Drosophila melanogaster: one gene and its partners. The protein of the gene in region 3 interacts with the protein of the main gene of each other region in a pairwise test. Each region holds a gene or a part of one and is shown on either strand. Other genes may lie near its edges.

Region 1 (10,592 bases), on a different chromosome or scaffold from region 3:
CGAAATCGTCTATATCGTCCAACTCAAAGTCGTCCACTGCGGAAGAAGTTAATGTGTTTAAAAGCTCGTTTCATAGTCGATAAGACGTCGTGAAATACTTACGTTTGACAAGGATTTAGCGGTTATTTCCCTTTGTTAATATCTGTATTTAAAGTCGAAAATTCCACTTGTTGCAGGGAATGCACTGCCTATTTATCGGATTTATCCGCTTTTTGGCAGCACCCGTATAATTCACTTAAATATCAGTGAACTACTCTACCGGAAGGTCGTTATTGAAGCCCGATTGGAATTAACTATATCTTATCAGCGTTAATCTGAAAGTAATACAATTTATCATGATGATAATGGGTGCACGTTATGCAGCACTGACTGCGCTGGCTATGTTTAGTGAGCAGTCGATGTAAAGCGGCGATAGCTAGCGCACTCAACACAGCAATCGATAATTCAAACATAACATCTGATTTAATTGTGTTTAAAACTTTATTGCAAGGTATATAATGGCTCATAATTTTATTTATTTGCGTTCCAAATATTTACTAAATTGAGTTTGTTATACTAAGCTTGTATATTTTGTATAGATATTTTTTAAAACATTACAATTTATCATAATGATGACGTTATGCAGCACTGACTGCTGAGTTTAGTGAGTAGTCGATGCAAGCCAACGATAGCTATCGAACTCAACAAAGCAATCGATACTATTGGAATAGAAAATATAAGAATTAATTAATTCAAACATTACATCTGGTTTAATTGTGTTTAAAACTTTATTGCTGGGTTTATGATGGCTCATAATTATGTTTATTAACATTCCAAATGTTTAGTAAATTGGTTTTTTTTCTTACCACGTTTATTTTTAATTTTATATAGCAAATTTTTAAACATATTTACTTATATATGTGGTTGAAAGCGATGAAAATAAAGTAAATCGATTAAATTGAGATTTATGCCCTGAGTAGATTTACTTTCCCACCATATACTACTAAAAATTTGAATATATTCAAAACTAAAAATTCATTCAAAATTCAGAAAACGTATTACTTCAAAAATAATGTATAAATTATATAAACAATAGAATTTTTAAATTTCTTTGGCGCGCTTTGGTTGCCACCTTGTGAGCTATCGATAGTCAACACTCACGTTTAGTACTTCCTACCAGTACTACTCACATATACATACACCTTTTGCCATTTTTATCATGGCGATTTCTTTTTGACATTTGACTACGACTGGGCGCACGTGTTTTCTGGCAAGGCTCTGTGCTAAATTCTAGTAAAATCAAAGTGAGTAGTGGAAAGTGCGGCATTCGATTGGCGTTTTACTGATGCGACCATTGTGTGTACTCAATTGAACAGATGAACGCGGAAAAGCTGAAGAAGTTGCAGGCGCAGGTGCGCATTGGCGGCAAGGGCACCCCTCGCCGCAAGAAGAAGATCGTCCACTCCACGCCCGCCACCGACGACAAGAAGCTGCAGTCGTCGCTCAAGAAGCTGTCGGTAAACACAATTCCCGGCATCGAGGAGGTGAACATCATCAAGAACGATGGCACCGTCATCCACTTCAACAATCCGAAGGCCCAGGCCTCGCTGCCGACGAACACGTTTGCCATCACGGGTCATGGCGAGAACAAGACGATCACCGAGATGGTGCCCGGCATTCTGACGCAACTGGGTCCCCAGGACATCAACCAGCTGAAGAAGCTGGCCACGGAGATTGCCAGCAAGAGCGGCGCCGGCGGAGCAGCCGGCTCTTCAGCCGCCGATGCCGGTGACGATGATGTGCCCGATCTGGTCGAGAACTTCGAGGAGGTGGCCATCGCCGACACAAAGGAGGAGAAGTCCGGTGAGGTGGCGGCCTCCGCTTAGGCTGGTCCAACCCCGCCCACCCGGGCAAATCACACCACCACACACCGAACACAAAAACATACATACAAAACATACGGGGCCAGGGAGCAAGACGAAGTGGCTGGCATACAGGGCAGAACCCACACACCAGACACGCCGGAAACACATCTACCACTTACCCATTCCGGTTCCAAATCGGAAACGGATCCACTCCGGACTGCAACCAGCGCTTCTGCCCTGAATGGGCCATTCTTCGTGCTCCCTCCAGCCACTTTTTTGGGGGTCATGCTACACACTATACTAAAATACAAAAATAAAGGCATCCGAGTGAGCGCTGAACAGAACACATAAGCATAATAACTATACTTAACATACTAAGGGAACCCTTCAATCTTAATCTAATTGTACTAGTTTGGAACAGTCAAATGTATTTTCCAAAGCGATTAAAGAACGTTTCCTTAACCAAAAAAAACCACAGTCTAAACAACACACACATTCTAATTTTTGCCGCCCTCCCAAGAACAACACACACAGATGTATCTATAGATATATGCGCTGTCATAAAACACTATATACTATATATATACGATACGGTTTTCGGAAGAATTGTGACGAGGTGATTAGGGGAACAACGCAGACACTCCAGATGAATTCATTGCCAGGTCGCGAGGACAGAGAAATATATTTTTAGCACTACTAGCTCTTACCGATTTTCCCCAATTTCCGACTTTTCGATGTAACCCCGCCCTCAAGGAATCCTCAATTGAAAACGAAAACAAGCTGAGGCCACAATTTCGATTCGAGAACAATGTGCCCAAATTGTTGAAAGCATAGCTTATAATTTGTAAACTATTGTTTTAGACCATCATTACCATGCATAACATTAAATGAGCTGTAAAAACCATACGACCCATTCATATTTCCAGCATTTTTTTTTTAGTTTAATGCCTATTTTTTTCTTTGCTTGCATAATCGACATGTGTGTGAGTGTGGGCCTGTGTGTGTATGCATAGCAACGCTCTTGTGTGAGGTTTTCGAGGTGATGGGAAAGGGGTAGTGGGAGGTGTGGCGCAAAGCACGCGGCAGTCGAAAACTTGTTGACATTTGGTATGGTACGTCTAAAATCCAGATGGTCAGAAGGCTCCTTCGGCAGGAACTATGACCCGTACGCAACTTCCAAATTATGTGTCCAAATCCAAAGTTGGGAGTCGTAGCATGCGGTACATGCACATATGTATATATATAAATATGTATATGGTTTTTGGTCGGAAATCTTCGAAATGAGTCACGTTTAAATTGGCTTAAAATTGCGATTAGGCCAGTTCAACCGGAATGTTTCTTGAAGTTTCCACTCATTTGTACATAAACAAGCGATTGCGGCTTCTTATCACATTTCGACGACCTATAACGGATTAAGGTTAATGCAAATGCTAGTATTTTTATCAGTGACGAGGTCAAATAGAGTTAAAAACTCATATTTAATTGTGGCAAATATATTTAATTGATGTTTATTAGGTTTCCAATTGGGTTTTGTTTTGATTTTTTGTCCTGCCAACTTGTTTTATAAACATGCGTGCATAGCTAATACTGCGGATATACATATGTATGTATGTAAGTGTTTTGAATATTTTACAATAGATTGCTGAAATATGTTTTATGGGCTAAAGATTTGGAAGAGCTTATTAGGAATATAATTATTAATTATTAAAATATTCTAAAATCTTGTCACATTTTGGTCTTGAACTTTGACCTAAGGATAATCTAAAGATTTTCTAGCTTTTAATAGCTCACACCACTGTGACACATGTATGTATGTATGTATGTATGTACATGCGGTACAGAGTTGCCAGATGTAAGAGACGCAGTGCCGCCACAAAATCAAAACAAATTAATTTCAATTTCAAACTTTATTTTAACCAACTCTATTTGAACAACTAGTAACTGACTAAAGTGTGCGCATTTCATTTTTACAAATGCTGCAAACGATCTTGCAAGGGACTCTATCTGAAACCGGAGTATCTACACGATGGAAAACCGGTGTTCCGGCCTCAGGAAGAATCCTTTTCTTCGGACTCGCACGGATATTGTTCGGCTTTCGCTCGCTTTCCACACAGCAGCAGAGGAGGAAGCTCAGTGGCACTGCCTCGCCCTCCTCCAAAGTCTGTGGAAGATTTCGGTTACGGGTCTCTGGCAGCAAAAGACTAGCAAATCCTCCCAAGATTAGCAGGGCTCCCATTACAATTAGCGGAAGTACGAGCATTTGCTGACCCTGCAACGAGAAATGGGTGAATATTATGGTAAACAGTAATCCCCTGAGCCGCACTCACCATATGATTGATCATGGGAATCACTATAGGTCCCACCATGGATATTACCGAGCTAAAGCTCATGCCCAGTCCTCGCACCACCGTGGGATACAGTTCAGATGCCATGAGCGGCAAGACTACAAAGGACGAGCTTATGCCCATCTTGCCCACGCAGTAGAGCAGCAGTGTGATGTCTGGGTACAGAAATGTGGCCACGCAGGCGACTCCGCCCACCAGCATCGATATGAACAGGATCCAGCGCCTTCCGAAATAACTCAATCCCGGCCAGAGTAGCAAATATGTTGGCAGTTCCACCGCCCCAGCCAGGAAGAAGTTCCAGATCTCATCGCCTCCTAGCGCAGGAGCATAATAACTCAGTCCCACGTAGACACTGGTGTTGGCAAACCAAATAAGGGTTATGATCAGGGTCTTCCGACGCATATTGGGTCCCCGAAACAAGTCCAATATCCCATAGTGGGTGGTCATTGAAGATTTGGTTTCCGCAGCCCTTGTGATGACAAGTTTTCGCTGCAACCGTTCCACAAAATCCCGATTTACGCGCACACCATTCACTCTGGCCATTACTTTGAGAATTTTAATGGCCCTCCTGGTTTTTCCCACGGCCATTAACCATCGTGGTGATTCCGGAAGCACGAAGAAGCAGGAGAAAAGCATCAGCAAAGGCATGGACACTGCCAAACTGAGTTCCCGCCAATCACGTACGATATAGATAACTCCGGCTAATACCACCAAGCCCAAGGAGTAGGCGATATTCGAGACGATGGTGCAAAAAACTCTCCTCTCCGGTCCCACCAGCTCAATGGCCAGTACATAGGGACTCGCCAGAATAGCTGGCACCGTCAGTCCCACCACAAAGCGCAGGCCCAACCAAGTGTAATAGTTCCAGGCAAAGGCACTGGCCGCACAGGCAATGATCTCGAGCAGCAGATAAGCGTAAAAGGATGGCCGCCTGCCCCACAGATCCACTAGATATCCAAATACATAGTTACCTAGCAATCCGCCAACACCGAAGACCACAAGCGCCAAAGTCACAAGGAAGCTGCGGTCGCACACCAGGTTCCACTGCAAGATATATGAGGAAATAATTCTAACATACCATATCCAATTGGAAAATCCCCACCTCTTGAACCACCGTACTTGAGTATATGGACTTGTCGTAGTGCCAGCCATGTTGGCACGGCACCACCTGCGTCGTATCCGGCTGCAACTTGAGCAAATCCTCTGCCTGTTGTCGCAACAAATCCGGAGGAGGTCGATACTCAAGATAGCGCACTATATCGGTGTAATTTCTCGAGTACATGGAACACTCGGCATAGGCTCCATTGCGATTACGCGGAATGCTCAGGTTCTTAACAAGCTGCACATAGTCCTGCGTCCAGGGCTCCAGCTCAGGAACGCGACAAAAGTGCTGAGGTGTGGCCGCTATGAACAACTGGCTAGAAAATAATCATTTTAGATAATTATGAAAATTTTCTGATGAGGTACCTTTAAGAGGCGAAAAGGTAGACCCCAAATGATGCTATCGCATGGATGTGAAAATCCCATTAAGATTTCTTTTTCAATATTATTATTATAGAATACCAAAGAAGGATGACCAACCTATATGCGTGGAAGGCACAGGGCAGCGCGGCGGGCAATAGAACGGAACAGATGATGACCTTCTGGTAGAGACCAAAGGAGCCCACCTCCCGCAGCACCTCGTCGAAATCCATGTCCGCCCGTTAGCCAGACGCTCGCGCAACTGACGATCGCGCCGATCACCTTGTCCACATTCAATCCAGTCCAGGAACTGGTGGCGCTGCAGGGGCTGATTGAACATAATTACATTACGGCCTCTCGTGCGCATTAATTAATTGGACACCGCGGTGTGGACAAGGTTCGAACTAGTTGAGCGCGCCCCAATCCCAGCCAAAATCCCAAACCAAAGCGAGCACTCGACAATGTTGGATTAGTTAGTCGTCTTGTATTTCTTTCCGGCTAAGGTGGCACTGGGCACATAAAATTAAGTTACATTTCTAAAACTGGAATAGAAGCTATGGATCATAATGACCAGTCTAATTGCGAGACAATCCGATAATGGTCAGTATGTACATGAAGATGTTAATAATGTCCAGGTAGAGGTTTAGAGCGGCGAAGATGTATTCCTCAGGACTGATGGAGTACTTATGATTACCACCCAGCATCAACTGGGTATCGTACACCAAGTAAACGGAGAAGAGCAATGCTCCCAAGGAGGCATAGACCAGTCCGATCACCTTGCCCGGTATGAAGATAGCGATTATACCAAAAATGATGAAGACCACCAGACAGGCCACCAACACTCCTCCGCACATCGTAAAATCGTATTTGGTCTGCAGGGCAAACAGGGTGAGTCCCAGGGCCACCGCGGCCGTAATTCCCACTGCCATCAGGACCTCATCAGCCTCAAACTGTCCGGCGACCATACCCAGAAGGAACGACTCCGCCACGGTGAACAGGAAAAGAAAGATGAAGTTAAGAGGCGTCTTACGGCGTACACTTTCGCAGCAGGCCATACAGATCATGGTCACGATAAGAACGGCCTGAGTTTAAAAATTGGATATATTTGTATTCAATATTTAGCATAAAAGTCGTAAAAACTTACCAAGGCTATCCAAAACAGTGCCGGATTTTTTTGCACCCATTCCTGCGAAGCTTTCGAGAACGTAAATACGCTAACAAAACCGAAAGTGATCAGCAATTGGCACTAGAAATAGAGCGCGATATCAAAATTAGATTGCAGGAAGTCAATAAATCTTGAAGTTTTAAAGTGACCCAAAGCAGACAAGTAGTGAAGCAAATACCTTTATTTTTGGACAATTTAAATTGATATTTTCTTTTTCAGTTCAAATATCAGCACTTACCATCAATATCAAGTAGACCTTTCGAATAAATCCCTTCCGGATGCTCTGGTCATCGAAGGCGAAGCTCTTGTCCGCTTCCGCATCTGTGTATGCGCCAGTTTCATCGCCTGTGTGGTTGGAAGACAATTCAAGGAAGCAGGAAAGTTAATGCAATGACTAACCGTACTGAAAATGATTGTCGCTGCTCATGGCTAAATTGCTATGACTAAACTTTAGTCACTTAAGTTACGGTGCTCTCTTTGCCCGACTGCCGGCAGCGTGCTAGTGTTTCAGCTTAATGGAACCGAATCGCCCTTTCTAGGTGTTCCCATATGGACGTATGAGTTGAGATTAGCCGGTTACCGGCTCTTATCACAGCCCCACACTTCTACTCTAGATAAGATTTGTGTATTGATGTCGGTGAGTAACTGATATTGCCACCATACAATTTCAAAATGGTTGTTCACTCTCCCTTCGATTGGGTGAATCACTGTTTTTGGGCTCATAACGAAACCTTTTCAGCTGTCTTATCAGATGAAAATGCGCCGAGAGAGATATATTTTGTTGGCTCTTACTGAGAGAAAACGATGCAGTCAATAAGCTTTATACAATAGCCAAATCGATTATCTAATCTAAAGCACCTTTCCGTAGCCAATTTGGTTTGGTTTCAGCCCAATCCGGGCGGTACTTACCTTGCTGGTAGTGATACATTTTATAGCTACGCCCTGCTGGAATTCACACGAACTACTGAACAGGTGGCCGGGTCAAACGCATGATATGGGGCCAACCCGAAATTAAAACACCCGGACTTCTTTCTGTGGTGGTGCAGATAACAAAGTTAACTTAAGCAATGATAAAGCAAAAATGCAGACGATAATGGTCTGGAGTGTAGAAGTAATCCAACCAACGGCGTCGCTCTGAAGTCGCAGACTAAAGTTGCATCTGGTGGTGGCTGGCTGGTTGAACTGGATGAACCACTGACGGAAGCCCTACAATGCAGGGGTCTGTGGCTTTAATAAATAGATGCGCTTTATTGTTGACTTTAAACTCAGTGTCGCTGCAGGGATTACAATGTTCGGTACTTGATTCATAGTTGAAAATCGGGATTCCTTGGTTATTACACACGGTTAAGTTTTATGTGTTAACAACTGCAAGCCAACTTGCTTATATGTATATTTTTACATAAATATGTTTATACGTGACTATTTATTGTTGTTTCGTTTATCTGAATGGCATATCATTTGGTATACATACATATATATAATTTTTTTATTTTTAAATTTGGAAATATCCACTTGGTTTGCGCCTCAACTTAAGCAACAATAAAACATACATAACAAAAAGTAAGTAGTTCATATAGCCTTAGTTGACATTTAGAACTAGAAGGAAACGGGGAAAATGGGCAAACACAACACGAAGTAGATAGATTTGTAAGTATTTGAGTAATTCGTTAGTTGAAGATTACCTCCACTGGGGGAGCACACCGATGAGATTACGCGACAACAATATTCGTGTATTCCAGGTTACTGAATAACCCGATTAAGCTGCAAACAATATTTGGAAATAGAGCGGAACTTAGTCGCGCGATGCGCCGATTATAGTCAGAATGTACATGAAGATATTGATGATGTCCAGGTAGAGGTTTAGTGCCGCAAAGATGTACTCCTCGGGACTGATAGAGTATTTGTGCTCGCCGCCCATCATTAACTGTGTGTCGTAGATGAGATAAACGGAGAAGAGCAGCGCTCCAATCGAGGCGTACACCAGTGTTATGATCTTTCCCTTTACAAAGATGGCCACGATGCCGAAGATCAGGAACACCACCATGCAGGCGATCAAAATACCGCCCATCATAGTAAAGTCGTACTTTGTCTGCAAGGCGAAGATCGTTAGGGCCAAGCAAACCGCTGCTGTTATGCCCACCGCCATGAGAACCTGGAAAACAGATATCGTATCACTTTACTACATATCGTAATTAAATCGAAGTACTCACCTCTTTCGGAGCATATTTGGTTGCGGAAACTCCCATTAAGAACGACTGAGCTGCTGTAAACAGACCCAAGAATATGAAGTTCGTCGGTGTTTGGCGGCGCACACTTTCGCAGCAAGCCATAGACAGCATGGTTACTAACATTACGCCGAGGGCAACCCAAAAGAGCCACATGTTATTCCTGGCAAAGGTTTTAGTGCCCTCGTGGTATACAAACAGGGCAACAGCTCCAAAAGTGACGATTAGTTGTCCCTAATGACACAGAAATGATAACTTATTGTACATGCCTTCTATGCAGAATTATCTAAAGCTCACCATTAGAATCAGGTACACCTTACGTATGAATCCGCGACGGATGCTTTGGTCGTCAAACGAGAAGTTCTTGGGCTGGCTCTCCGGATCATCGTAGGCTCCGTAGCCGCCAGCAGATGGTGGTGGTTGGATAAATCCCGGCTGGGGAGCATAACCTCCCGGTGGAGGCCCCTGTCCGTAGGGCTGTGGATAGGGTTGAGCACCTCCTTGTGCATAGGGTGGGTAGCCTTGCGGCGGTCCTTGAGGTGGATAGCCGCCCTGAGGTGGATATCCACCATATCCTCCCTGCGGGGGATTACCGCCGCCATAGTTGTACTGCTGGTTGGGATCTGCGAAATAAGACATCTCGTTTTAGTTTGTCATCTAAAACGGTGCTACCAACGCGTTCGCTACAGCAATCTGTCTACCAAGAACTGTAAAATCTAAATGAAACGCTTCGCCGTGACGAAGAGATGCGGTAAACCAAGAAACAATCTCGAGCAAATATGTACATACAACCATGATAAGAAGGGACAAGTACGATGTGTAAAGAGAGAGAGGTAATGGAAATGAATCAGCTCTGGGCAATTACTGAGCATTCAACGGGTCGACAAGCCCCGGGACGAACAAAAGCATGCGATCAGAAAACGGGTAAGCTGTAACACTCGCTTAGAAGTTAAGAAGATTGAACCTTGGTATTGGGGATACTGGGGAACACTTTGCCAGGACATTCTCGAGGGACTTCGCTCTGATTTCTATGTAATTCCGAAACCGCTGTGGAGTAAACTTAGATCCAAAAAGAATGTGTTAGTACGGCTTGTCCTTATTCCACTCACCTTGCATTGTTTCGTTGTTGTTTTACCTGCAAAGACACGATGATAAGCAATCATTAGCTAATTTAATTAGTGTCTAAGAAATGTGCACACCTTTGGTGGCATGCAACTTTAATTATCAATCAATTTGCCACTATAGTAATGCCTGAGAAACTTCGGCACCGTTTCGTTTGTTGTGGCCCCCATGACGTGTACCTCTCAAGCTTTCTTGTGTGGGTTCTCTGAAAATAGCTGGGGCCATTTATGAACCTTACCTACACGCTGAACTGCGAGCTTAAGCGCTTTAACGTAGTCGCAGCTATTAAATTAGTTCAGCCGGAGCACCACCAGCGCAAATAATACATACACAGCAGCTCGGTGTAGGAAAAGTGGTGACTCACTTTTGGAAATTGCCAGCTTCTCGAAATTACCGGGAAACCACACTATTATAATTTTCTTTGACGTGA
Region 2 (11,372 bases), 2.2 Mb from region 3:
CCAGTGTGGTGCAACTGACAACCGTCCGGGGGGTGGCTGGAAAAGTGGGTGGTGGCGGGGCGAACTATTCGATTGGCGGACAACGTAACCAATTCAAGCCGATTGCTGTAATGCTGGCTCATTACAAATGCACAACATCAACATTAACGGCAACAACAAAGGATGTCGGCTTTTCTACGATTTTCGAATTATTTTGGACATAATACCAAAATGTGTGGCTCGGGGCATAGAAAGCTATGGGGAAATGCGCGTTGATTTATAGGAAGTGTGCACCGACTTATTTGATTTCTGTAATTGGATGATTGCATTTAAGCATTACGCAATGGAAATCATAAATAGCACAATATTGTGTGTCAATCGGCGATGGAAAATCATAATTTATGCTGCGATATGCTGTTTATATGTTAGTGAAGGTTGTCTTAACTACTTGCATATATGTATTTTTAGGCAATTAAAATAATTATATGTTCTATTATCATATGAATTATAATATTCTTAAAAAACAATCCTCCTTTAAGATGAGTTCTTTGCTGCCAGTTGAACTTTAACTATCTATCCCGCTGAAATTTCAGTTGGCGTTCCACTTGCAACAGTTAAACATTCAAAGAAATTCCGGATTTATTTATTTACAATGCATTTTAAAAATGTTTCGTCAAAGAAGCTTCAGTTGCAGTTTTATGGCTGCCCGTGTGTGTGTGTGTGTGTGTGTGTGTGTGTTGGCCGAAAATGCAATCGAATGTGAAATACATATGCATATGTTTCGGCACACACACACATGAAACGCATATATATATACGTATATATTAAATGTATGCAAACTGCATAAATGCTTCCTGAATCGAATTTAATTGTATCTGGTGTCTGCATGCTGCTCTCGCATCTGTATCTGCATCTGCAGCTGCAACTGCATCTGTATCTGTATCTGGTTCTGTGCCTGTATCGCTATATGTATCTGTATCTGCCAGTGAGCGATGTTGTCTATCCATCTCGGCGAACTCGCAGTCCCGCAGTCCCGCTGCCCCGCAACCCCCTCTTGCGGCTTTTTGGTTTAATTGGCTGCGGGAATATTCCATGTGATTACTTAATGAGCCCCAACTTATGTTTACTACGCGAAACATTGGTTCGCCCCGGTCGGTTTGGTTCGGTTTCGGTGCACAAAAGTTAAAAGGTTAACAGTGGCTGGTCGAGAGAAGTGCAAAAAACAAAAAAAAAAAACGGCGAACAATTCCGCTGCCGATGCGCACAACAATTGTGGGGGCGTGTGCACGTAGTTTATTATTCAATTATGCATTCATTAAGGTACATAATTAATAATTCAATTAAAGGTAGCACTGCGTAGTGCATCAATTTGTGGCAATGTTTCCCATAATACTCATTTTCACGCACTCTGCGTTCGAACTCGCATTTCGATTCCGCACAGTTCTGCCATCCGTGACTCGCCGCCGAAGTCATGGGTTAACTGGGCGGCGATGGGTTAAACTCAAGGGTTCTGCTCCACTGCAATTCGAGGAAGTGGAAGTGGGCTAAGATCCGACCGACTGGCAGCGGCATGCGTGATTTTCGATTGAAATCGAATAGCGAATCTTACAGTTTATTGCCTGCCAAATGATGCAAATCATTTTTCAATATCTGTAGCTCGGATAAGATGACTTGCCAAAAGTCTGGCAAAAATATTCCACTCCGCAAATCAGGTCTCAATTGGAATAATTCAATTAATATTGAGTCATGAAGTTGTCATTGAGTGCAGTTGCGGTTGAACTCAAGATTACAAGGGGTTTCCATACGATTTAAAAGGAAATTAAGACCCTTGAATATTTCTGATATATTTCCGCATACCTGAAAGGTAATTAAGTACCCAGGAGATATAAAATATACCACGTACGAAAGAGGAACTCTTCTTCCTCTAAGCACATGCTCCATCGCTACTAAGACCCTTACCTAAGGTCAAGAGGTGCTCCTGAAAACGCTCCAATAAGCGGCATCAAATGCCTGACCTAAGCCACCATATCCATAGCGTCTCTGGGCCGAACTGTAATTTATGTCTTTATGGCACATTACATTCAAGACAATTCACTGGCTTTACAACCTGTTGGAGTAAGTCTTTTACGGCCCCATCAGCAGAAGATCAAGACCAGGCCATGGTAATGACCCAGTTGCCTGGGCTGGCAGACCTTTTAGCCAAGTGCCAAAGCAGCGACGCTTTCATAGCGACATGCATAATTAAAAAGCCGTTACAGGATGTACACGGTCGGGGTTTATGTTTAAATGGTCATGCCAAATTTATGGGCCCGCTCTTAATTGGGCCGAAAACGTTGACTAACGAACAAACAAACAAACAACAAAAATTGGCAACTTTACGTGCAGAGTTTCGGGCCACGTTCATGTTCAATGCCGCTGGCCTGCAGCCGAATTGTGTTGACCTTTTCGCGTAGTGCTGGCCAGTGGGCAGGTGGAAAAGCAGCAGAGATTCTGAGAGAACCAGAAAGCCTTGCCCAAACCCAGTCCGAACCCAGTCTCAACCCAAACCCAAGCTCAGGCTCAAGGCGGTCAGGTGCATTTATCGCAATTAAACACTTGTTGCTGCCAAAGCAAAGCAAAAGCACTAAGCAAAAAGGCAAAAGCAAAGCTGCCACCGCAAAAACAACGCCACATCTAACAAGAAGCGAGGCAAGATTAATACGTGTATTACGGCCGGGCCACGATTTCCACAACGATTCAACAACGATTCAACAAACGATTCCACAACGAGCTAATAGCAAATGTATTGTATATACGAGTATAGCTGTAGTAGATAGCTGCAGCTATATGGCAATTGCGATTTGCTTAGAATGCGACAACCGCCGGGCCCCAAATAAAAGCCCAAGTGCTGACCTTGTCAGTGGCTACTATGCTACCAATATTACCAATACAACTGCTTTGGTACGACCACCAATGTTGCTTTGGAAATCGATTGCACTGCTGAATCTCGAGTGGTTTTCCTTGTGTTTGATTTTTCAATTTTTGCAGCACAAAGCGTGAGCACAAACACACACACACACACACACAGGCCAAGGAGCGATTTTGATAGAAGAGAGGCGATTTTTTTTACGCCCGAAAGCGATTGGATTTATTTTGAATTTTATCAATATCAATGCTGGCATGGGAAGTTTCAGCAACAATATAATTTATATGCTTCTCCGCCCAGATGCTGCATTAAAATATATAAATAATTGCAATGTTTGGGTTAACCTCTTATCAATGGTTCATCTATAGTTAAAGAACACATTCCGTTTAAATCAACTGGCTGTCACTCAGAGTGGGCTATTCAGACCGCAGGAATTTTACAATTATATATTACAGCGCTCGTTAAATAATTAATAAGTGTAATATGAAACATATCAGAGCAGCTACATATGTACTGTGCCAAATATAATTACACTAATTAAATGAGCATGCAGAATTTAATATGGCCGTGTTCAAATGAACAGCTACAAGTGTAACACTTTTATCTACAAATATATAGAATATCTGCATGGAAATTCGATCTTTGTTGTAATTTAAAACCGTACGTTTTATACGAGTATGGTAAATGCAAACTCACCCGATAATAGTTGAAATTGACAAAATTTATGTTCAAAACATACCTTTATTTAGGAACGTTGCCACTTGGCAGCTTGAAAAATGTGCAGATACCGGAGGCACAGATGCAGATACAATGCAAACATTACTCAGCCGCATTGCTCGGCTACTAAACAATTTAAATGAAGATGTTCCCAATTGGATTCATGGTCAGGCGGCCGATGAGTTATTTATGCATACTTAAACACGCCTGGAAAATGCAAGGCGAAGAGCGCCTTCGGATATCTTGGCCATTTGGACACTTGGCCGTTTGGCTGTTTGGCTGCTAATTCGCAGCAGAAGCAATATTCGCACATTTATCGATTGCAAATCAATTTCGTGCAATTGCACATCTCACGTAATGTCGGCCCCTCTTGGCCAGGTCGAAACGCAGTGGCTCTGGCTCTGGATTTGGCTTTGGACTTCGATTTGGATTCGGAATCGGCTTGGGCTTGGGCTTTAACTGGCTGCAATGCATCGCTGCCGGATTACCCCTCGATTAATGCTGCTTGCATACAAATTGGCGCATTTACGTTCGCCTTCACCTGCTATATGGGAATCTCGGGGGGTCTTCCCTATCCACAAGATACAGATACAGATACAGATACAGATACAGATACAGATAGAGGTGCAGATACAGATATAGATACAGACACGCGCCTGCACTCGTTAGCCAGAAGCCTGAAGCCTGAGGCGTTTGCCTTCCTTTTGGCATTCGGCAGGCAGTTGGCCAAATTGCATAAACAAAATCGCGCAGCGAAATGAAAAGTGCGCCAAGTGCGAAATATAAATTACACCGCGAGCATTCGCATGCAAATTCCGATTCGGATTTCAATTCGAAAACATTGTCGCACGTTGAAAGTGGTAAGTGGCAAGTGGCAAGTGTCTTTCGGTGCAATCCTAATCAGCATGACTGGCCCAGTGCCAGTCACACTGCAAATCCCATCGCATCCCATCCCAGTTATCCCATTCCATTCCCTGGGTGCTGGATAGAAATGGCAACGAGGCGAGGTGACAACATAAGCAGACTTTTCGCGGGATTTGTCAAATATTTGCGCAACGCTGCGCTTATCCATCCAAAAAAAAGAAAAGCACTAAATCTCTGGAAAGGGAGATCCAAAACTGCAGCACCGAGTCCCAAAAACCCAGGAACCCAAAAAAAAACCCCCTACCCCGCTTGCCCACTTTTTTGTGTGCGCTTTCACGCCTCTTGGAAGGCGGGCAAACTTTTATTATTATTTCATTTTTTTTATGTTCGCCGCGCCTCGCAAGTTCAAAAAGTTTAATGCTATTTGACTTTGATTCAATGTTTGCATTGTGCCCGGGCACATCATCGATTATTTTCCACTTGACGCCCCACCACGTCAGCCCACTGAACATGGAACATGGAACACCAGAGCCACCAGAGCCATCCGCCCACGGATCCCGAAGCGAACTCCCAACGAATCCCCATCCGCATCCGAACTGGAATACCAGTTGTTTGTGGTGGACAAATGAAATATGTTTGGCCGCATCAAAAAGCCCTGGCACTGAAAATTGATAAATTGCGAATTAATTGAATCGCTATGACATGAAGTTTAGCACTATTTTCTCGTCTCGCCTCAATTAAAGAGTTGGCTGGGTTTTTCCTGCACAGATACTTAGATACTTTAATTGCATCCTTGAGGCCCATTTAATTGTGGCACACAAATCGATTTTTTAAACTCTGTTTCATTTCAGCACGATATGATGATATTCTCATGCATATTTCATTGAATGCATTTCATTGCCATTTAAATTTGGCCAACGAAAGTATTTGTTGTATAAAGGGCTTGGGGGCGTCCACTCTTTAAATTCTTTATGAACTTTAATTTCCAAATTACATCGCTTAATTGAGTTCGGATTTTAAATGGCTTGTAAAGCTGAGGCAAATTGCACATTTCTGCGCAGCTGAAATATGATTTACGTAATATAATAATATTTAATGCAACACATTTTTATTGCGACATTTCACTGAAATGCGTATCTTCTAAATATTTAAAATCCTCTTCTGGCCTTTTAGTCTCTTTTACAAAAGGTATGTATATTTTTGTATATTTTTGAGCATCAAGTAATTTCTTTTATAGCCAGCACAGAACAATTAGTCACGGATTTGTAAAACCAAATGTCACAGATAATATTATTTATTCTGCCAAATTAGTGAGCTGCTAAGTGGGAATTTAAATATTGATCGAACTGCTCTTGATCCAGTAATGAATGTTTTTCCCAATCTAATCAATTATTTTTTGGGTTTGGCCATATATAAAATACGAATGAATGCAAACTTGTTTGAAATACACAAAGACCACGGGAGTAATATAATAATCCAACTGGCGATTATCGATTCTTTGGCAGCCGTAACTCTTTTGCCATTGCAATGGCAAAACAATGAGTTATTTCCCAATTGCCGAGTGGGTTTGTTTGTGTATTAAATTTGGGAAATTCAATGAAATTTCACACATTTTTTCGTGAATGCCTGTGTGCTGGCAATTGGCTATGAGCTCTTCGTCGGCCCCTCCTGCACCTGCGGAGCGAATCCAACCCGTTTTGGGTATTTGGGTATATGGGTATTTTTTTTAGAAAGCCATCAACGCCAGCTACATTACCACCACCACTACCTACAGTGCCTAGCATATACGTAATGGCATATGTCATACGATTACCAGGTATACGGATAGCAGAGCAGATTGTCTATAATCCCATGTAATTCAAGACTCACCGATTTGCTGGCTGCACAGGCACAGATCCCACGGCCACGGATTGGATTGGAGTGGCTTTCCGCAAATTGCTGGCTAATTGGAGGGCTCGTGGATCTGCCAAAACGAATCTTGCTCGCTGGCATACAGGGATATATCTCTTGGTTTTCTATCTTTTTCAGTTGCCACTTTCGAAATATATAAAAATTCTCTAACCAAACGCGCTTTACAACTGCAGCACGCGCTGTTGCACAAGAGTAGCGAAAAGAGCGATGCCAAATTGGTTGCAACAGGTGGAAAAACTGGGAGCGCACCGCGATCCGAACCGAATCGGTTTTGTATATCCAGCGAATTGAGTCCCGAGTTTGAAAACTAACTTTTGAAGTCGATGCGAGCGTTACGCGTTCCAGAACCGCGCTGCCAGGCAGACGAAAACAGACTCAGCTCGATTGAGGCTCGCAAAAACCACAACACCTGACGGCGGCTTCTCAGTCCGTGGATCGGCGCCGTTCAGCGGCTCGATGGTGGTGCGCTTGGCATCTCAGCGGCTCAGCGGTTTGGTGGCTCAGCGGCTCAGCGCCTCAGCGACGGTGGCGTCGACTGCGACGGCGACTGCGGCGTTTTGTGGGCGGTAAGCCAAACTTAAAAAAAAAATCAAGTCAAATTGAGTGGCGCAGTTTGGACTGGCGATTGAAGTGTACACATGTACATAGTCGTACTAACTTGCCGCACCTGAGCATCGCTTTCGGACACTGCCAGTGTTATGATCCAATTTTATGGAGCCTCGTAAAGCCGAAGCATTTGAGATATATTTGCGGTATATGTACATCGGACTTCACTTAAGCGCTGGTCACTTGGGTTAAAATAGCGCCGGTTACTTAGCTTACAGCTTGCCATTCATCCTATTAAATGGAGCATTTTGAAGGTTCCAAAGCATCTTTAATAAACAATTAACAAAACGTGCTGGTAATCAAAGATTACGCCAGTATCTTTTACAATTGCCTTATTCAGTTGAGTTTCAAAATTGAATATTCCCATACCCAATGTATACTAGTAGTTATCATTCCAACGAAGATGACGAATACTCAAAATATTAGCAAAGATTTCGAGATGAACTGTAAATATTACTCATACGCAGCGTGTACATATATCATATATTATGAGGCTCCATATAATTGAATACATAGCGATTGAATTTTCGGATTATCATTATGATTGTTAAGAAGTGCAAAATGATTAACCGAAAATGTATTGGATTACTTTGCATTATATGTATGTTCTTTTATCTTGTATAAAAAATTCCGTTGTTAATTAAGTGATGATAGCATATGATTATCATGCTGACCCCAAGTTGTGTCTGGTAAATAAAGTGATTACTAGATGAGATCTCTGAAACCGTGCTGGCTAATTAAAGACATTCGGCGAACCTGGACCCTGTCTTTATAGTTTGATCTGTCTGACAGGGCTGAACCCACACGGACCTCCGGCTCAGCTGACTCATCCTCGAGTGCAGTGCACATCCGCTCCATCCCTATACGAATCCCAATCGAAAACCCAGCCCAATTGGTATTCCTGCTCCGTTCGCCCGGAGACGTCGTTCGACGTAGTTCGCTCATAAATTTTGCATTTGCTGTGTGATTTTCCTTTTTAGACGCGACAAGATTTCACTGATTTCGCATATATCCCAGCATTTATAATATATTCGCCTGGGCCGAGTATTCTAAGTCGAGTTCAGTACTGTTCAGCTGTTCGGCTGGTAATCGCAGTGCCGCCATCAATCACGTAGTTCCCAGCATGTTTTGTCGCCGATCCCATCTGTATCTGTATCTTGACGCAGTATCTTCTCACACCAGAGCCAAGCTCAAAGAGTCTATAAACTCGAATATCTCTCGCACAAACGCTGTACGAAAACGAAACAAAAGGCCCATTAATGACAAATGCGAAATAACGAAATTAAAATAATAATATTCGCGATCAAGACACTGCATATTAATGGTGGCCCCATCAAAAGACACTCAAGTGCACACTTTTCAGGTATGATCCGATCTTGTTCAGCTCTGTTCAAACACTTGACAATGACATGATTCGCTTTTGATGTATAATTACTTCACTTTCGAGGTACAACGGCCTGCAGATTGTTTGATGCCTTTATTTATGCTGTGTAATTGCTTTGAAATGCCTCTTTACTTATGCAGATTTCGGGGCTCCATTATATAAAAAGTTACGATTTGTAGGCGGACAGTTTGCAATGAGCAAATAGGGCAACATTTACCCAGACAACTGAGTGTTACCTTTTTGAGTCAATACCTTGAAAATCTGATTTCTCGCCGATTTTCGCACCTGGTCTTAGTAATTAGCTTAAAAAGTTATTCTTCGTTTCTGACATAGTCAGTTATTAAAGGTTCAACTATCTACCTGTTTATTTTCAAGGGCATTGAAATACGTTCGAGCCAAATTAAAATACTTTTTAAGCTGATCATTCTACGATTATTGTTTTTATAAACTATTTAGTTATATGGTGGTTTTTTTTTATGTTCCACACAGACCGTTTATGGACCGTCAAATTAGCTTGCATTACCAGGCTCAATCGTATGGCCAAAATCATATGGACTAACCAAACAGTCGAGCTGAAAAGCGAAGTGCAATAAACGCAACCGAAATTTAAGAACCCAATAAAATGGAGCACTAAAAAAGCGAAAGTTGACCTTGGTGCTCTTGAGCGACAAGAATCCGGGCCGAAATCGCGGATCCATCCAAACGGTTGCACCCCCAAAAACTGGCCAGCTTCGTCATCGCGATAATAGCCAAGGCAAATTGCCAAGTCATTTGGGTTTTTTACCTCTCGATATTCTAACAAATCGACTAGCAAATAGCGCCGTTCAAAGACAAACAGAAAAAGAAAACAGCGGCCATAACAAATCAAACTCAAAGTCCAGAAGCTGCAAATCTAAAAAGGTAATTGCCAGGGCTAATTCGGCATTTGGAGTGTGTGGAAAATTCGTCGCGTCACCGCATAATTATTCGAGGAGTCTCGATGACGAGATGATGGCCAGTAGTGTCTGGTAATTTGCCGTTTCAGCCGTGATTTACTATTGACTCTGGTGTCGGGCTGCTTGATTTATTTTATGGCCAGACGGAACGCAGCGTACGCCTCCAATATGTTCTTAACACACAAAGAAACCTATGCTTTCAATACCCTTCACAACTTGAAGAAGCCAAGGAATGATATATACTATAAAGATCTTGGAATTGGTCGCTTACTCTCTAATTGCAAAGTCAAGCAAATGCCTGAATTTAGTGGTGAGCAATCTAATTTGGGAACACTTCTGGGAACACTTCTCGACGGAATTCCCGGAGTGAAAATATGGTTTGTGACAATGTGCAACTTCGCCATTCAATGCAAAAATAAAATGCCCCATCGAGGGTATAAAAGTATCAGTCACGGTAGAATGCAGAATTACCAACACATTGGCTGGAAGACACACATGGACATGGCTGAACGGAAGCCATTGAAATTCAGAGCGGGTTCAAAGACGCTCGGCCACGGCAACAAATCGTGCAAACAACAACTCGCCGAATTGCATGGAGCAACATCTTCATTCCCGGCGATTTTATTGGGGGGTAGGGGATCGTCGGTTGGTTGGATGGAGGATATAGGAATGGAGATGGAGATGGTGATGGGGGCGGCATAAAGACGCAGTCACCAAAGCGATTCAGAGAAATGCATTCTAGTGCCTTATTGATTGCGTTTCGCGTGCCACGCCAGAGTGCAAAAACTATGAAAATCTATTAATTCCACTCGGGGATAGGCAAATGCATCTCAAGTGGCTCGGACAGGGGAAACCGGTGATGGAGGAAATGGGGGATCTGGCGGATCCGGAGGAGCAGCGGCCAAGTGGCTGACGTCGACACGGACATGGCTTTTGGGCCGTTGACAGGTGTTGACTGCGCTGCGAGTCAGGCCATTAATGAAAACAGGTACGAGTCGTAAACAATGTACGAGTTTTCCGACTACCAGATACCCGGTGGTGGTCAGTCGTTTATTTCGTCGAAAATAGCATAGTTTCAAATGGAAATTAGATACAGTGCGCTCCTTGTCGCTTTACTTTAACTTTAATTGAAATGGAAATCAGAGGCTAACTGACGTCAATTCGTTTGCATAGCCGACAGCTATTAACTTTAAAATATTAGTCTATGTACTTCGCATTTTAATTAAATAATAATGTATTCTTCACATCTAATTATAAATCTAGAGGCTTTAATGTTTATTCCATTTCACAACAATAAAATATTTAACATTTATACCTCATATAGGGTATATACCCGTGATTTCTGAAAAGCAGTGAAAATGTTACGCGAATAATAGATATCCATCTATATTCGAATTTTTCGAAGCTTAGCGTGCACTTGACTTCCGACTTTGACTCCAAAGCTAGGTGCCTGGCAATTGTTTGTTTACCGAATCTAATAATGTTGACTTTCATCAATTAATAAATAAATAAGGTGGGAAAAACACGCGGGCAATTAGCCAGGGAGCCATATATCCATATATCTTAAGTGGCAAGTGCGGAATCGATTTTTGAATGTCAATGTCATAGTGCAATTAGAAGAGGAGGCTTCCAATGGCCAACATTTAGAGCCAAGCTAACTTACTGTAACCAAATTTAAAAGCCTATTAAATACGAATAATGCCAAAAAGGTCGGTTTTACAGGGTATCAGACATGTTGTACAATATATCTGTTAAAAACAAATTCACCGCGCAGTGAACCCAGAAATGTTTATAAATTTAATAGGGCGAGCAAAAATGGAAAAAGGCTATAACAATTGATTGATTACCCGCTAATCTATAGACGTCGGAATAACTATGTCATAATTATCTGCACGGACACGAGTAACTAATTTGTTGACAGAGCTACAAATGATATAATTTCATCGTATTCGTACCACTTCTTCCCAAGCAGCCAAGTAGTCATGAAAATAGTGCTGGTTATTTGGATGCTAGCTCACTCACTTCAGCCGCCTTATCAATGTGTAAATGTCGTTGATTTGCACGAGAAGTG
Region 3 (11,166 bases):
GTCTGCACTCTATAAATTTAATGAAAGTGACTTTTGGCAAGTACTTCAAAAAATACATCTCCTTCAAGGTCTGGCCAAAAACCTTACCTTTCTTAAAGTTCATAAAGAACTTTACTCGGGTATATTTATCTTTTAATTGCGTTTTCTAATTGTTGTTCTTTTAAATTTGCTGTGTATTTATGTTGTAATTTTTCCATTGCTAATGCACCTTTGACTCTTTTCCCGAATATGTGTTAATTGCGCCAACGCAGGCCGGCAATTAAGAATCCGTTTGAAGCTGTCCTTGCCAAACAACAATTAGGCGCTCACAGGACCTGCAGAAAGTACCACCTTGACCAAAAACACACACATCGAATTTCTCATGCTGACAAAGTTTAAAGCGTTTAACAAAGGCAAAAATACTGAACAAACGACATTAAGTTTTTATTCGCCACCCGACGCGGCTAAACGTTTGTGTGTGTAATTAAACGTGCGCTCATAATGAATTTAATGCTCAAAGTGGATGGCGACCCACGCGGCGTATGCGCAACGCCCTGCACTTTCAGCTAATCCAATGCTGAGCGCTAAGTGTGAGTGTGTAATTAAATTGATGCGAAATAATCGTGGTCCGACATGTGGGCGGATGTCAATGACGGAGTGGGTGAGAAGATGAGGCGGTGGTGCCAAAAGGTGATGGTGGGTCGGTGGGTGGTGCTCGTGTGTGGGTGGCCAGCAATTTTACATCACTCCGCATCTCGCTATTCGCTCTGCCTGGCTTCTTTATCTGCAGCGCCATGCAAAGTTATTTAAATTAAATTCCAGTCACAGCATCAGTGACTCCCCATTCTTTAATACCTCTGCCCTCCCACTCACAAGTGCACTGGTAGAAAAAGCTATCACAAGAAGTAGCTAACTGCTTTTAAAAGGTTAATAGGTAATACCTATAGGTTTTTGTTTTTTCGGTGCTCTCATGAAAGTTTGGTTTGGCTGAGCATTTCCCCTTTTTATCGCTCTACACGAGGCGAAGACAATTAAATGGCAGGGACTACGCCATTGAACGAGTTATGCGGAACAAGTTTGACATATTGTCGGACTGTGTAAAACTATGAAAATGCATTGGACGCTACACGCACTCGTGTCCTGATCCTTGTGCCCGCTCCTCGCAGGATGTTAATTGCTCAGCTGTGGCAATTTGTCAGCAGAGTGTTGACAACAAACCCAGTGAACGGAAAAATGGAAAGTGCCAGAAAAGAACTCGATGGAAAAACATTTATCCTGCAATGCTATAAGCCATTCATAATGCTGTCAAATCGATTAAACCACTTTTGTAATTTTTCCTCCACTTTTTCGGTAGATTTCCCATGAATTTTTCAACTTGCATGCATCGCTCAACTGACTTGTCATTGTGTGCCATTTTGAAGTAATTTATGCACCCATTTCCTTATTTTTTCATTGTTCCTCAAGGCTATGAAATGTAAGGCGCTGAGACAATGTAGACGAGCAGCCATAAGTTATGCTCCAAATAGCTCGGATCTGCGAGTTAACCAAAGAGCAATTTAAGAAGAAAGTAGCTTTAACTAATTAATGCACTTTTGAGAGTCTGCCTCTCTGTGTGTGCGATTGCGGAATTTGTAAGGCCAAGCTCTTTTAAATGCTGCCATGGGTAAACCCATATAAATACACCACAAATAACTTTTAACCCCCTCTTGCATTAATTTGCATAATTAGCTGGACGAGGGCAAAAAAAATGGAAATTCATGTTTGTATAAATTTAAACATTGTCCTCGGAAAGTTCAGCGGGAAAGTGCCTGGCAACAGAATATAATTAGAGTAGAATTGGTCACATAGCGAATTCATCCTGAACTCACAAATTATATTTCGAAATGCATTGTTGCACTCAGATAAAAACGATTTGAATGCAGTGAATGCTCTTTTCTGCAAAATCCTTAACAATGCATCAGAACGATGGACACTTCGCAATGAATTCACGCTCGAGTGCATGCTGAAATCAGCAGGAAAATAATGGTGCTGGAATTCTGTTGGGAACCCGGAAATATTACGGAGCACAGATGAACAGGTAGCCACCATGAAATAATGCAGAAATTCTGGGGCAATAAATGACAGTAACAAGCAACGAAACACTAACCATGTCACACAATAATGGAGGTTGGACCTCCACAAAGTCGGAAGGATAATACACTTAATACACATATATATATATATATAAATAACATTATTTCAGGGAAAATACAGTCACTTAACTTAGTTGACTTTAATCACAAGAAATTACTTGACATGGTGCACGTGTGCCAAAATATCAAGTTCTGGTATTTCATAATTTAATTCCTTGAATTAATATAGAACAAGTTGTTTGTCAAATAAATTATACAGTTTGGAAGGACATATGCATAAATGCAGGCCCACAACATGCACACACACACACATGCAGAATGCAGAATGGGGCCATGAGGACCGGAAGTGAAGAGTGGGGCACGCAGACACTCATGCCATTTTGTGTTAGTTTTCTGTAAATGGCGACTGGCGCACGTAAAACGAATGTGAACGTATGAGTACTTTTGTTTGGCGCGTACTGTGTGCTGATTTCGCATATGCAAATGCCACGAGAAACAAGGGCGAATAAATACGGCTGGCAAATAAATACAAACGAACCGGAAATGCGAGCGGGAGGGGATAATACGGAAATATATTGAGATGAGAGATGCATTGTCTTACCGGAAGTAAACACCGGGCGTCCGCTGGTCAATATCCGATGGATAAATTCGTCCTACACGGCACTTGCTGAAGAAGATGCCCATGAAGGAGGGATCGCGTTTGGCGGGCCAGTCCTTGATCGGAAAGACCAGGGGGTAAGTTAGGTACTCTGGCGGATCCGAGAACTCCAAGTAGCCGTTGAGGGAAAGCTGTAAGAGGAGGAGATTGTTGGATTACAGTCAGATTCGCATATTCTGTGCAGCTTTACAGTCATGTCAAAATCTTAAAGAAACCCTACCCTGGTGTAGTTGAATCGGAAGCCGTAGAAGGGCAGCTGGAAGTTCAGATTCTTGTGCAGCTGCGTCATGGAGGCATGGATGTCGAACTGGTAGTCGCCACGTCCTCCGTACATGTCCTTGTCGAAGTACCAGTACATAAAGTTGCTCCTGAGCTCCGCAAGACGGGCGGCGGTTATGGTGTATCCTCCGGCTGCCGTGGAGTATGTGGTCGGCGGGGCGACATTGTTATTGGGATCTGGAAACAGCGAGAGGAGAAGACAAATAGCTTAGAGAGGTGAGCTCTGGCCTATCATTATAATTTCACACCTAATCCGGCGAGATTACTTTTTCAATTCCACAATATTATCCCTGGCACTTGCTGCGTTGCAAGGCATAAAGTGAAAGAAAACTTTTTCCTGGCCTCTTTTGCATTTTCCGGCTGCAACTTTGCCACCCACATCCTTGCAGCTCCCGTTCCGGGTGCTTGGCCATTAAAGGTCACAGTTAATATTCATTTCTGCGCTGCAAACTTTGCTGTCTTCCTTCTTCTCTGCTACTCTTGGCCCCTTTTTCCTAATTTCGCCTCACCGCTGGCCTTTTAAAGCAATTTAAGCTGATTAAGTGCAAAGCTGACGTTCCCAATGGACACTGCAAACGTGTGCCCATGAAAGAACCCAGGATCCGCTTAAGGATATTGCTCCTGACGCTGGCCAGAAACTTAAATTGCTGGCGAAGTTTTCGTGGTGAAGTCCCGGGAAAGATTTCAAAATATTCCTGACATCCCTGGAGAGTTGTGGTTGCACCAAAAGCGGTTGACATTCATTGCATTTTGCAGGAATACTTTAATATTTTTAAGCTTTGTCTTGTACTTCTATAGTTCAATTAGCTAACTAATAAATACTTTAATTGTCTTTTGTTTTACAGAAACAATATTAGTGGGCAGTGCAGGTATCACAGTCTACTTTGCAGCATCTTTAACTTTTCATTTCGTGCCTATCCCAGCTGAATTCCCTGAATTCTATTTCACAAATTCAATTTTAATATTTAAGTTAGTTGTTATTTCAATGGAACCCGCTCCTTACATACAATTTAAGCTTCATTTATAATTCCATTAATTAATGAACCCCATTACGATCCTGACACCTCATTTCGCCTTTTGCACAGATATTTTCCCATTCCATCTGAGTTTGATTGCGTATTTCTCTTTGAATATATGGAAATTGCAGTAGTATGCTTAATGTATAACACCGTTTTTATTTCCCTCATTTCCTTCTATTATTTTGTCGGCTGTGAATTGCAGAGTGTCGGGTGAATCATTAATTGCATTGATTTTGATTTTAACGAGCCAGGTAATGAAACGTCAACAGTGTGAAGTGGCCATAAACCCCAGCGGATTGCTTGTAGAAACCCTGAACATCTGTCGCGTTTAATGTTTTTAAGCTATTTATGATTCGATACCCTCGCTAATCCTTTTTGGTGGTCCTTATAAAAGTGTGCGGATTAGCCGTCAGTCTTTTGCCAAAAATTGGTGCGCGGAAAACACGCAAAACTCGCGTGTTCGGGTTGCAATTACCGGGAAATCGCTCCTTTGAGAAATCTTCCTTTTTTACTTTCATAGCTTAGGTAGTGATCTCAGGTAGTTTCCCGGAATTAAGTTAGGCTGGGTATCGCCTATCGGGATCGGCTACCTGAACTTTTGGCACCAGCTGCCGGGGGTGAAAACTGGACCAGGTAGTCTTTAGAAGTGCACCTATATAAGGTCTGCGTTCCTGGTCTCAACAGCACATTCGTACTTCAACCGTCAACATGAGCATCAGCACTTTCAACTTCCAGTTCTACAACTACAAGCTTAGCCCGTCCTCACCGGGATTCGGCAGCACAGCCTCCCGTTCCTCGTCCTCATGCATCAGCGAACTGGAAATGGACATTGATGAGGACATGTCCGCCCAGCCCACCATCACCTCCACGCCCAAGCCGCGCTTTACCAGCCAACTGGCCGTGGAACTGGCCAAAACGGAGCCGGGTAATGGCATATCCCCACTGCGACCCAAATTGCATACGGCCCAGAAACGCTGGTCCATGGAGTTGAGGGAAAAAGTGCTGGAAATGTCCAAGCGAAATAATGGCCAGGAGAAACCACAAACCGCACGACAGCAGGAACAGCGACAGCCACAGGAACAGCCACTGCAACAGGAGGAACTGCAGCATCAGCAGCAGGAACCCACTGTCACCGACAAAATCAACTTCTTCAACAAGCTGACCAACACCTTTGAGTCGGGTTTCAGCAAGCTGATGCCCCAAGCAAGCTCCACCAACAACCGCTTCATAGCCATGTTGCGCACCGCCCGTCCTCAAAACGTTGCCACAACCACCGCCAACAGCAGCACCGCCAACAGTTTCCTGGGCAGCGACCACAGTCTCAGTGGTTCCGTGACCGGACAAGTGCCACCACCCAAGCCCAAGAGACTGTCGGCCACCACCGCCCAGTTTGCCACTCCCCATGTACCAGCCATGGGCGTGGGCAAGGGGGGCAGCCAGCGCAAGTGCTCCCTGCGCCGCAAGCCTTCGATGGACAAGTCGAGGGCCACCATCTCCCGCCAGAGTTCCAGTGCCTCAGTACGAACCCAGAACCACGCCATCATGGAGGACCTCAGTCTAGTGGTTCCCGTGAGATTGCGCATCGCGGAGTACGAGCAGCGCATCTCGATGAGTGCTTAGGTCCAGAAACTAGGTTAATTGTAAGTTCCAAAGGATTGCCTTACTTTAGTTATAAGTTAGCCTAAGCTTCTAAAGACAGTTCAAATATAAGATAAAATATAAATATATATATGAAACAAAATGTAAGCGTCTTGTTCTTGGCAAGTGAGGCATTACAAATATTACAATATTTTTAAACCATTACTCCTTTGCAATCGGTGAGTAATTCCACATATATATTTCGATATTCTATTTCTGACCAAACCCTTTTTTATTACACAGTTACATTCTAACAAATGACTGTGACTAATACGGCAAAAATTCCAATTCCGAATAGCCAATATATCAGTTCTAGGGGACTGATAAAACAGAATTGCTAAATCCACACACTACCACAGGTTGTAAACTGAATCACGCAAGACTCCGTGCTCCCGCTGTCCGCCGTGTCCACACCTATATTCGTGTGCATACATATGCGTATATTCACTATGCCACCACGCACCTGTTTTGTTTGCCGAAGCGGAAAACAAGAAACCGTTAGCTTTTTAATGCCTCAACCTGGGGCATTATCTTATCGGGAAGAACACAGAGCGAGAGAGAGAGAGAGAGAGAGAGAGGGGCTTACAGCACCTACACCTGAATGCCCGAACACAGGTTATCGAGCAAATATTGGTAACTAAACCAAACTGAAACCCACTGAGCTGTTCTGATAAGATAGTCAACGCGGCGTATGAGTAATGGGGTGGAACTGAATCAGCCCAGGGACAACGAAACCTACTCACCCCAATTGTAGCCGCTGTTGTCCACGTCGTACAGCTCCCCCAAATAGTCATTTGGCATGATGAGGGCTCCGAACATTTTCTCGGGCTTCAGTCCCGCGACGGTGAGGATATCATCTGTTCCCCGACTGCTGACATGCACCACGGGAATCAGAGTGGGCTTCTGCAGGGCCAGTGGTTTGGTTTTCGGGTTGTCCGCTTCCGCTTTTTTGGGAGCGGGCGTGGCCTTTGGAACCTCAACGAATTCCGCCTGAGCTTTGGGCTTAGTCACCTTGACCGGCTCCGGAACTGCATTGATTATTTGATCCTCGAACTCCTCCGTCGATATATTCTCGTTAGCCAGGACAAAGGCCATAAACCCGCAGGCCAGCGCACAAACCACAAACAGTTTGAAACGCATGTTCACTTGATTTCGATTTGTCACTTAATTGGTAATTCGTTTTTTCGTTTCACTGCTAAAAGAAAAACACAAAGGCATCAATTAGGCATCCACAATAAAAGTATCACTCAATAAGCACTCAATTCATGCGAATTTGTACACTATTTTTCCTCTGATATCCTCATTTTCTAACAATTTTCACTTGATGACATCATCAGTTAAGGCAATGGCTTATCAGTTCTCTTATCACTTGTCACCAATTTTCAATTTTAACTTTAATTACCAGGCAGGAAAACACGTTCGTTGCAGCGAGCCGCTCAGCTAAGACTGAAGTTAAGTTAACTCTAACGGCCCGATCGGGGCGTTGCCAAAACTCAGTTCACCTGTCGCCGTCTACTCGATTGTGAAACATTGCCTTATCGGCCAGATAAAGCTAGGCATATCTTATCAATGGAATACTACGCACCGATAACGCATTCCTTCTTCGGCCCGCTTGGCTTTTTCGGGAAGCTTCACTCTCTTCTCTGTGCTCCAAATTTACCAACCTATTTGTTTATGCCCATTCGTGGGACCGTTACCTATATTTCTCTCTGTTGACAATGGTCTCTGGCAGATTTGTGATTCACTTCCATTACAGTTAATCATACTCATGACGCGGCCATTTTGTGAAAAGCTGAATGGGCTGTAAAGCCTAAACATGTATGTGTGTGATGCGAAATTGATGAGAGCACGCTTCCGGTTTAATTATAGACAATGACCCATTACCGACCATTAATAGGCATTTCCGATGAAGCTTTAGAGTTATGAATATCAGCCGCCCGTAAAAAAGCCTACTGATGGATTTCATTAGGACATGAAAGTGTCATGGTCCTCATTAATGAAGAAATCAAGTGCAGAGTGGGGAACTCCAAATTAATAAAATCAAAGCGTTTTGAGGATCAACTTGTGTGACTAAAAGGGTATTATAAAACAATAATGCAGATAAACATTGCTATAATAAAAATCGAAGGATAAGATATATTTTTATAGTGGTTATTGTTAGGGGAAAATTGGTGTTGAAAATGTACCCCATATATCTTTTAAACAAACGACAGCATAATTATGTATAAAATATATATATAAATATAAAAATGTTTTTAACTATGGTACAGTTCATTTCAATATATTCCTGAGCATATGTATGACTAATTTAATGGATACAACTCTTCCCTCTCTCAAAGGCAATCCATTATTGGCCAACGAACCTGTTGCATTATCAGCTTTAGTTAACTGATAAGAAACTATTTTGAAATTCATTATCATCTCATACATGTGTTTAACAAGCGCTCTGTTAATTAACAGCGATCATATCACACCACCAGCCCAAAAGTAGGCACTACTTTTCGGAGGGATTTGTTCTCTCCCGGTTTATTTCCCAGCTTATCAGCAATTTAGTTTATTTGGAATATGGGGGTCCCGGCTTCAAACAAAAGTGAATTGCCCTTAGTTCTGGGTCGAACGGCGGCGAGAAGAGACCGCGATTTCGCTGCGAACTTATCAGGTGATCCGGCATACACGCCTCGTTTTTAATCCATCAGCATGCTGCGTTATCTGGCGCTTTCGGAGGCGGGAATCGCAAAACTGCCACGCCCACAATCGCGGTGCTATCACAGCGAAAAGGGCGTTTGGGGCTATAAGCCGATTGCCCAGCGTGAATTTCAAGGTACGGTTGTAAACAAGTGTGTTGCCAAGACTTCAATAAAAACCTCATCCGTCGAGATAACCATCGCATCGATAAGAGTCTTTCGGGATCAAACATTCATATGAATGGGCAGTGGAAATCTACCCAAGCAAAAAGAAAAACCGACGAAGTGACATTGTGTGCGTGTGTGTGCGTTCGTGTCGGATTTTCCAGCCGGCTATTTATCAGCGGAATTCAAGCAGCTGACCCACAACAATCCCCGCAGAAACTGCAATAAAACAACAGCCTGAACAAGAGATCAAGTGCAAATTGCTGTGGGTGAATTCGAAAACCAGTTTAAAGAAGATATATCATTTGTATACCCTGTAATCGGAGGGTATATACGGGAATACGTATGGATACCTAGGATTATTTTCACTAACTTCAGGTTTAACTTAATTTCGCAAAATATTTTTTAAATTGAAGTTCATTGTTTATGCCTCTCATACTATCGAGAAAGAACAGCTCCTGTTGACTGGTGGAATATTTTTTATGGTTTTAATGTTACCGTCTTTCCTGTTACCTACCCAAGCTAATCTCCACGTTCTCAGCTTATCACATGTTTTCACTCTGAAATCTGATAAACCCGAAATATATGGCGCTACACCCAGTACCCCGAATTTATAATTAGAATGAGGAGATTGTGGCAGACCCCCCGTGCAGTGCACTAATTAAGTGAAGAGAGGCGGATGTCCAGTGCAGAGATACTATATCTTTTCCCAAAACGCACGGCAGGGAGTCCAAAAAGGACCCGGCTAAATATCAAAGCCCGGCAAACAAAGGACCCCAAAACGGGAGCTTCTTTGTGCTTGTCCTGCATCCGTTGCGTACACAATTGGGGCTTATCGACACCATGGCCAACAGACACCAGTCACCAGTTGGTAGTTGGTAGTTGGATAGTCTGCCAGGAGCCTTTGACTGGGCACCAGAGGAAAGCCTTCAACGCTTGACCATGTGACATCAGGCGCCTAGGATGATGCACATAGAGAAAATCAAGTCTAGGATTTACTCAGGCTTTGGAAAAGTATGTTAGATATTCTAAAGCAAACCCAATTGACCAGTATTTTGAATTATGGTAAAGCGTACTAAAACTGACTTTAAGCGTTAGTTTTGCCTCAGTGTAGTATCGGTATAATTCGCCTTGTTTGCCGTTCGTCCTTTGGCTGCATTTCTGTCAGGGCAATCATTATCCTTGGCAAAGGACGCGCCGCTGTGCTCCAATAATATTTACACGCTCAAGCTGAAATGTTGTCACCGCAAATACAATTCATCATACACCCTGTGCTCCTGTCCAAGCGACCTACTCTTTAACATTAAATTGATTTATGGCCGAAATGCCGTCGAGAAATTGCATAAATTTCTGAGGACGACTTGGGGTCGGTCTAACTGGCAAATGCCAGCTGTCCCACGGATTTCGAATTTTCAGGGTACTGTAATCGAGTGATATGCGTCATCGCATATAAATCCTGTAAGCAGGATAACACTTTAACACGTAAACACCTAAGCAGCCAACGAGTTGTCAATGGCTCAACCAGGGAATAAAATATCCCAACAAAGGCAATAAAAACAACAATCGTAATTTCTCATATGTAGCACGAATTGCTTGCCATCGGGAAGCACAAACGTCGTGGTACACTCTATAGTTTTAAATTCGATGTAAATCTGCTAACTGGAATAACTAACGATATATGTATATGATAAGAATATATGTTCTGCACGCAATCTCAATAAGCCCCATTTAAATCTTTAGCCAACTCCTTTCGACATTTTCCACTCGAATTCATATCGAATGCCAAATATTTGCCGGGTAAATACGATTCAAAAGTGCACATACCTGGCAGCTAGTCCATCAAAGTGAAGCAAAGCGTAAAAAGCAAAGAATAAATATCATAAAAGTAAAAGGCCAATAAATTCAAAAGGCCGAACAACGTGGCAACGGGGCGATGTGCACGTGAATCCTTTTTTAAATAATTTATAACGTGGGGCGAAATTTATATTGTTTACGCGTGTGTTTCAGTGGCCGAGGATGTGCGGGCCTCAAGGAACTCGCAGGCCAACGTCTATCGCTTTGTGGAGGCCTTTCGCCAGCATGGGCACAAATTGGCAGCCGTAAATCCCATCAGCATCAGGACGAGGTAGGAGGCTCCAGCACCCAGTACCCAGCTCCCAGCTCCCATTTTCCCATACCCCTCCCGAAATCGTCCTGGCAAATGTCATATTTTATTCTCCCTTTCTGGCTGCTTTGTAATATCGCCCCGGCTGCGTGTATTTGTCTTGTGAATTTTCGTGGCTACTGGACACAGCCAGCAGGAGCTGCAGGAATTAAGTCCCGCATTTTATGGACTGCAGACACAGGAGCCGGTGCGCACCGATGGCCTTTTAAGTGGTCCGCAGGTGGCCCACAACGTCGCCCAGCTGGAGCAGCTGCTCAAGGACATTTACTGCGGCCGCTCAACCAGCGCCGAGTTCTCCTACGTCGAGGTAGGTGTCCCGTCCTATCGCATCTCATCCCATTCCACCGCATCCCATAAACATTGCGTGCTGATCCCGCTGCCTCATTTTCGCAGGACATCGAGGAGCGTGAGTGGCTGGCCCGGAACTTTGAGACGCTGGACCAGCAGC

What was found.
Region 1: the proteins of mesh (region 3) and Lfg interact in a two-hybrid assay, tested with the Drosophila melanogaster proteins (one large-scale study listed by BioGRID).
Region 2: the proteins of mesh (region 3) and wat interact in a two-hybrid assay, tested with the Drosophila melanogaster proteins (one large-scale study listed by BioGRID).

What each region holds. Positions count from the first base shown.
Region 1 is NT_033778.4:12,869,048-12,879,639, forward strand, and holds Lfg (lifeguard), read right to left. Parts: upstream 7,920-10,592; 5' UTR 7,744-7,919; coding exon 7,725-7,743; exon of another isoform or gene 7,243-7,724; coding exon of another isoform or gene 7,215-7,242; exon of another isoform or gene 7,161-7,214; coding exon 7,054-7,160; exon of another isoform or gene 7,035-7,053; intron 6,978-7,034; exon of another isoform or gene 6,897-6,977; coding exon 6,795-6,896; exon of another isoform or gene 6,733-6,794; coding exon 6,226-6,732; 3' UTR 6,117-6,225; downstream 1-6,116. Other genes in the region: bic (bicaudal), read left to right, coding at 1,356-1,865; Balat (Beta-alanine transporter), read right to left, coding at 3,790-4,113, 4,172-5,233, 5,292-5,607, 5,771-5,883; Nmda1 (N-methyl-D-aspartate receptor-associated protein), read right to left, coding at 8,608-8,967, 9,026-9,274, 9,338-9,663, 10,005-10,044.
Region 2 is NT_033777.3:29,013,689-29,025,060, forward strand, and holds the start of wat (waterproof), read right to left. Parts: upstream 6,719-11,372; 5' UTR 6,335-6,718; intron 1-6,334. Other genes in the region: CG14518 (uncharacterized protein), read left to right, coding at 11,284-11,343. UniProt on the Drosophila melanogaster protein: Catalyzes the reduction of saturated fatty acyl-CoA to fatty alcohols. The preferred substrates are C24:0 and C26:0. Necessary for the final stages of tracheal maturation, to facilitate the transition from water-filled to gas-filled tubes.
Region 3 is NT_033777.3:31,188,610-31,199,775, forward strand, and holds the start of mesh (mesh), read right to left. Parts: upstream 7,154-11,166; 5' UTR 7,108-7,153; intron 6,901-7,107; 5' UTR 6,846-6,900; coding exon 6,449-6,845; intron 5,781-6,448; exon of another isoform or gene 5,688-5,780; coding exon of another isoform or gene 4,776-5,687; exon of another isoform or gene 4,753-4,775; intron 3,226-4,752; coding exon 2,990-3,225; intron 2,901-2,989; coding exon 2,713-2,900; intron 1-2,712. Other genes in the region: bnk (bottleneck), read left to right, coding at 4,776-5,687; CG1544 (uncharacterized protein), read left to right, coding at 8,403-8,526, 10,562-10,679, 10,848-11,025, 11,112-11,166.